Ovis aries: one gene and its partner. The protein of the gene in region 2 purifies or fractionates together with the protein of the main gene of each other region. This does not show direct contact. Links are inferred from orthologs where the notes say so. Each region holds a gene or a part of one and is shown on either strand. Other genes may lie near its edges.

The links. Proteins that work in one complex are often made in the same cells at the same time.
Region 1: the proteins of COP1 (region 2) and ETS2 purify together in Homo sapiens (affinity purification with western blotting; 3 studies listed by BioGRID and IntAct, with this or other methods). This does not show direct contact. The link is inferred for Ovis aries from reciprocal best matches to the Homo sapiens genes COP1 and ETS2.

What each region holds. Positions count from the first base shown.
Region 1 is NC_056054.1:271,801,932-271,805,433, forward strand, and holds the end of ETS2 (protein C-ets-2), read left to right. Parts: intron 1-733; coding exon 734-949; 3' UTR 950-2,947; downstream 2,948-3,502. UniProt on the Homo sapiens protein: Transcription factor activating transcription. Binds specifically the DNA GGAA/T core motif (Ets-binding site or EBS) in gene promoters and stimulates transcription.
Region 2 is NC_056065.1:56,630,371-56,634,020, forward strand, and holds part of COP1 (E3 ubiquitin-protein ligase COP1), read right to left. Parts: intron 2,784-3,650; coding exon 2,675-2,783; intron 1,793-2,674; coding exon 1,711-1,792; intron 1-1,710. UniProt on the Homo sapiens protein: E3 ubiquitin-protein ligase that mediates ubiquitination and subsequent proteasomal degradation of target proteins.

The DNA of each region.
Region 1 (3,502 bases), on a different chromosome or scaffold from region 2:
ACCATCAGAACATGTCGTAGGAAATTTGCCTTTTTCCCTTGTTGGGGGAGGGAGGGGAAGCTGATACTGAGCCCCACTCCTCAGTTGAGGTGGATGGAGCTATGCCAGCCTGTCTGGATGAGAAAGCTGAGGATGGGTCCCATACCAGCCCTTCAGGGACAGCACAAGGGGCGCCCCTGGTCTCTGGCACCTGTGGGGTGTGGCGCATCACCTCCCCAATAACCCAGGGCGGCAGAGGCACTGAGGAATGCAAACGTCCACATGACCTCGGGCCCACTGCAGCAGCTGCGGATGTGGGGGTCTTGGAGTGCGAACCCAGGAGGTGGGGGCACATAGCGTTTCCTTTGTCTCAGGACCGACCCCGTGATTCTGAACCCTTGGCTTCCGAAGGTGTTACTGAGGGAGAAGCCTCAGCAGATGAACCTGTGGGTCAGGGGACCCGTCTCCCTCATCTGCCTGTCCCTCCATCCCCAGATAAATAGCCAGGGATTCAGAGCAGGAAAGCAGACGGCGTCTCTCAGCCCCTTTGTGGTGGTCCAATAAGCTATGCATCCCAATTGTCGTCAGGGCAAAAGCGGTGCTCTTTCTTTCTTTCTTTTTAAAAAATTAATTTATTTTGATGGGAGGATAGTTTTCTTTACAGTATTGTGAGGGTTTTTGCCAGGACGAGGGAGACACGGGTGCTTTTTTCAATCGCGGAATTAAATGACACTCTTTCCCGTCCCTGCCACAGGTGGCGCGCCGGTGGGGAAAGAGGAAAAACAAGCCCAAGATGAACTACGAGAAGCTCAGCCGCGGTTTGCGCTATTACTACGACAAGAATATCATCCACAAGACGTCAGGCAAGCGCTACGTGTACCGCTTCGTGTGCGACCTGCAGAACTTGCTGGGCTTCACGCCCGAGGAACTGCATGCCATCCTGGGCGTCCAGCCGGACACGGAGGACTGAGCCCGCCCGGGCCGGGAGCGGGCTGTCAAAGCGACCCGTCCCAGGACCCTGAAAGGCCGGACCGGCGCATCCAGCACGCCTCTCGGAAGCAGTGGCCTTACTCCATCCGACACCGCCGGAAGCAGCTCGGTTTCTCGCTTCTGAAAGCCTGCTGCCGGGAACCGCCGCTTAACGATGCTATTCCATTCGATCGGCCCAGGAAGAAGCTTGGGGCCCCCTGCCTAGCCCTGGGCGGGCTGTGTGGTGACAGGATCGTTCAGGCAGTTGGGTCTTCTCAAAGGAGCGAGCGTGTCACGGACGCACACTTCTTGGATTTTTCTTTTGCCTTTTTGCAGCCAGGAATCCCACAAGAGCTCTCTTTGGTTCTGAGGGGGAGGAGGGGGCAAAGACACATGCTGTTTCTGAAGTTAGTTTGTATATATGACTGTAACCTTGTAATTGTTATTAGAGTCCCCTAACAGACCTATTTAACAGAAATTGTATATTGTAATTTAAAATAATTATATAACTATGTGAAAATAGGAATGCAGATGGTATTTTGCAATGTTCGCTGGTTTTCAAGAGCACTGGCGTCCTTTTGCAAACATTTAATCTGCCGGCGCAGATTAAGAGAAATTGTAAAGTGTATATTATTTACATTTAATGTGCCTACAGGAATAAGGTCTAAGAAGGTTCCTTCCTGTTTTGTTTCGTTTTGCCTGGGTTATTATCTATGGCAAGGACTTTGTACATTAGGGAATTTTTATAAGAAACTTAATGTTATTATCTGGGGGCCTCTCCTGGCCTCTCTGCTTCTCCTTTAATTGTAATGTAAAAGCTATAAAGCAGTATTTTTCTTGACAGATGGCATATGTTTTCCATTTCTATGCATGCCTTGAAATAAGTTTATATACAAAATTTACTTTATTTTTTAGTTCAACTGTGTTTTCCCCAGCCACTCACCTCCCCTGACCAGGCATTTCCTTCCCCAGCCCCATCCCCACACCCCAAATTATGCTGTATGATTAAAATAGGAATACTATTTTTGGAACTATGCGACTCCTTTTCAGAGATCAGGAGGGATTTATGTAGCAGCTATTTTTACTGCAAAAGTAATTCACTGGAAAAAAAAATGTAATTTGTAAGAAAGTTTTACTTTTACTGCAGCACTGTGGAAAGTGAACCAACCGTACAGAGCTGAAGGTGCAGGGGCAGGGGAGGTTTAATTAATAAACCTCTCGAGCATGAGTGGAGCCTGATTTTGTCCCGTCTTGCTTACCTGTGGAGTCTCAGGCTTTCCGGACACCAAGCTGCTCCTTTCTGTTGAGTGTCCACAGTTTTTATTTTCTTGCACACAGAATGATGCCCAGAGGCAAATAGAGGGTCAGCAAGATGGGAAAGAGAAGGCATTGGGGTCGTTCATGTGAAGAAAACGTCTTCATCGTGATGGAGAATTTCACAGTCCTTTCGAAGGAACCCCTGGTTCAGCCTGTGTTCCTGGCTTTTGTAAACGGATCGAGTTGGTTTCCAAGTCAGACTTCACTAGCGTCGTAGGGGGACCAGTGGTGACGTCTCTGAAGACAAATCCTCCATGTGATGAGATGGGGGAATTGGGTGGTAGGGTGAGCAGAGGAGAGCCGGAAGGGGGACCACTGAGTCTAGTACCAGACAAGACTGTTTGCACTATGGCTAAGCACAGGATGTTCTTCTCAAGCAAGACCTGTTTATCTGCTGGACAGCTGTTTATAACATCAACAGACATGCGGCTGGGAACATCTAGCTGCTGAAAGAAATCAGCCATCCGCTCGCTCATTTTATTTGGGCTTTGACCGCATGAATTTGCCAGTATTTGTCTGTTTTTATCTACAGAGTTGGCAATTTTACATGGCTCGACCCAAGAGTCATGGAAAATCAAATCCATGGTAAACCTTTGGCATGATAATAAACAGGACTTATATATCACAGTTTTGTAATCTGGCCTTTTCTTTCTCAAATAATAAAGTATTTTGTTTACATCAATTCCTCCTTGTAAGAGTCTTCATGCTTCAACCCTATGCCTACCTCCCCCAGCGTGGAGGCGGTGGATCCAGAATGCTGGGCCAGCCCCTCGGTGGCTGTCACTTCAGGTCACAGCCCCTTTGAACTGACTTTACGCGCTTCTCCCCCAGCAAATCAGGACAAAGCTGGAACCAACTGTGAACCTTCCTGAAGCAATTCCTAAAAAGTGTTCCTTAAAGAGAAGGTTTTTCAAGGAGAGATTAGAAAGATTTGGGTATCTTGTCTTCACCTGGGCTTTGGCAGAGATCACAGAACAGACTTCAGGATATTTTTGTTAAGAACACGAGGGTAGCAACATCCGTGGTGGTCCAGTGATTCAGTCTCTGCTTCCATGCAGTGGGGTGCAGGTTTGATCCCGAGTCAGGGAACTAACTTCCCACATACTGTGTGGAATGACCAAAAACCTAAATAGGTTTTTAAAGATCCAATTAAAGAAAGAAGAACCTTAGGGTTGGAAGCTCAAAGACTTGTAATTGAGGCCTCGACTCCCCTGGAGTGCTGACGTAACCGAGACGA
Region 2 (3,650 bases):
AAAGCAAGAGAATTGCAGAAAAACATCTACTTCTGCTTCATTGACTACGCTAAAGCCTTTGATTGTGTAGATCAGAACAAACCATGGAAAATTCTTAAAGAGATGGGACTACCAGACCGTCTCATCTGCCTTCTGAAAAACCTGTATGCAGGTCAAGAAGCAACAGTTAAAACCGGACATAGAACAAAGGACTGGTTCCAAACTGGGAAAGGAGTACGTCAAGGCTGTAGACTGTCACTCTACTTATTTAACTTACATGCAGAATACATCATGTGAAATGCTGGGTTTGATGAAGCACAAGCTGGAATCAAGATTGCGGGGAGAAATACCAATAACCTCAGATATGCAGATGACACCATCCTTATGGCAGAAAGCGAAGAGGAACTAAAGAAGGTGAAACAAGAGAGTGAAAAAGCTGACTTAAAACTCAACACTCCCAAAACAAAGATCATGGCATCCAGTCACAGATGGGTAAACAATGCAAACAGTGACAGATTTTTATTTTCTCAGACCCCCAAATCACTGCAGATGGTGACTGCAGCCATGAAATTAAAAGACCCTTGCTCCCTAAAAGAAAAGCTATGACAAACATAGAAAGCATATTAAAAAGCAGAGAGATTACTTTGCCAACAAAGGTCTGTCTAGTAAAAGCTATGGTTTTTCCAGTAGTCATGTATGGATGTGAGAGTTGGACCATAAAGAAAGCAGAGCTGAAGAATTGATGCTTTTGAAATGTGGTGTTGGAGAAGACTCCTGGGAGTCTCTTGGGCTGCAAGATCAAACTAGTCAATCTTAAAGGAAATCAGTCCTGAATATTCAATGGAAGGACTCATGCTGAAGCTGAAGCTCCAGTACTTGGGCCACATGATGTGAAGAGCCGACTCATTAGATAAGACCCTGATTACTGGGCAAGATTGAAGGCAGGAGGAGAAGGGGACAACTGAGAATGAGATGGTTGGATGGCATCACCAACCCAATGGACATGAGTTTGGGCAAGCTCCAGGAGATGGTGAAGCATAGGGAAGCCTCGTGTGCTGCAGGCCAAGGGGTCGCAAAGGGTCGGACACAACTGAGAGACTGAACAACAACAACAATCATTGTGAAATAAAGTTTCCAACGCTAGAGCTACCCCTGCCTATCTATTCACTAGTCTGCAAGTTACAGATGGAAAGGAAGGAGAGGGCCAAGATAAAAGAAATCTGTTAACAGGGCTTTATAAATCTAATCTTGAGAAAAAACAGGCCAAAAGAAGACAGTAACGGGAAAGAACAAACAGTAAAGACAGATACACACACCACACACACACACATACACAAAAATAGAAAGATCAATGAAATTGGCAGAAAGAAATATAGAATTTCTGCCTTGAAACATGATTTACTTCATTCAAAGATTTTGGTATACACTCAGAATTTAATACAATTCAGAATACAGTGATGTCTAAATATTTCAACAAAAAAGTTCATTTCACAGTATATGTACAGGAACTGGTTATAAATACATCACAGGCATGAATTCAGAAAAAATTATTATAATGAAGATGCAGAATATTCATTTTTCTTTCACTCCAAGAAATAAAGATTTTTGTGCTTATTAGACTATTTTTAGAATAATCAGTAATCGCAAAGGATCACTATGGGTTTCAATAAATATGTGTATTTCTGTTAGGTTTTAAAAGGAATTAATTCGGGGGGGAGACCCAAATAGTACCTTTTGCATCATCAGAACCTGAAGCCAAGAGTTTAGGATCCATCAAATTAAAGTCAACACTCCAACATCTCTTCTCATGTTCCTAGATGTAGAAGGAAGACAAAGTAGTCTCAGAATATAGATCTTAAATAAAGCAAAACAAATAAACATAGCTGATACCAATTTATCACTATGGTGGGAGGGAGAAAGAACTGGCTATGAAAATAAAGGAGATGCAAAGTAGCTCCATAAACTTTTTAAATATACATTTATAAAATTACCACTTTTGGAAATTCATCCTACAAATGCAAAGAGCATTACTGGAATTACATAGGTAGACGGTTGGATGGCATCCCTGACTCGATGGACATGAGTTTGAGCAAGCTCTGGGAGTTGGTGATGGACAGGGAAGCCTGGGGTGCTGCAGTCCATGGGGTCGCAAAGTGTCAGATATAAATGAGCGGCTGACCTGAGGAACTGCTGCTGCTGCTGCTGCTAAGTTACTTCAGTTGTGTCAGACTCTGTGCGACCCCACTGACGGCAGCCCACCAGGCTCCCCCGTCCCTGGGATTCCCCAGGCAAGAATACTGTAGTGGGTTGCCATTTGAACTGAGGAACTGAGGAAATGCTAAACAATGATTTTAAATTTGTAATTATAAAATGCATGAAGCTCTATAATTATTAAAAAGTACAAATGTGATTCTTGCAACAAGCTCCAATATTTTGGCTACCTGATGCAAAGAGCTGACTCACTGGAAAAGACTCTGATGCTGGGAAAGATTGAGGGCAAAAGGCAAACGGGATGACAGAAGATAAGATTGTCAGATGGCATCATCGACTCAATGGACATGAGTTTGAACAAACTCTGGAGATAGTGATGGACAGGGAATCTGGTGTGCTGCAGTCCATGGGATCGCAAAGAGTTGGACACGACTGAGCGACTGAATAGTAACAACAACCACAGGTAACTAGTATTCTTATTTACCTGATAGACCTTTGACCTCTGTCCTGTGAATCCATCCCATAGGATGACGGTGCCTTCATAATCACTGCTGGCTAATAGGTTCTTATGATAACTACTCCAACTGATACAGCTGAAAGAAAGGGATATTAAGTTAAGCCTTATTTTACATAAAAATAAATAGCAATGGATACAAAGAATTTGGACGTGTTCAAAAAGATTAGAACCCTTTCAAAATGGTCTACATAAGTTCACAATAATTATTTTGCCCACAATCCATCAAGGAAGAAGGCATCAAATAATTCCCAGAGTATTCAATTGAAACTACCAAGTCACAAACCATAACCACTCTTCACTCTCATCACCAGCTAGAAGACAGATATGGTGTGCCTAAAGTTGCTACTGGCCATCCTTGACACATGAAAATACATGTCTGTAGGTGGAGATAACAGAGGCCAGGGGGGCACACGTATGTCATGGCAGAGACACATGAGGAATACATGTCTGTAGGTAGAGATAACAGAGGCCAGGGGGGCACACATATGTCATGGTGGAGACACATGAGGAATACATGTCTGTAGGTGGAGATAATAGAGGCTGGGGGGGCACGCGTATGTCATGGCAGAGACACATGATGAATACATGTCTGTAGGTAGAGATACAGGGGCCGGGGGGACACACATATGTCATGGTGGAGACACATGAGGAATACATGTCTGTAGGTGGAGATAATAGAGGCTGGGGGGGCACGCGTATGTCACGGCAGAGACACATGAGGAATACATGTCTGTAGGTGGAGATACAGGGGCCAGGGGGACACACATATGTCATGGCAGAGACACATGAGGAATACATGTCTGTAGGTGGAGATACAGGGGCCGGGGGGACACACATATGTCATGGCAGAGACACATGAGGAATACATGTCTGTAGGTGGAGATAATAGAGGCTGGGGGGGCACGCGTATGTCATGGCAGAGACACATGAGGAATACATGTCT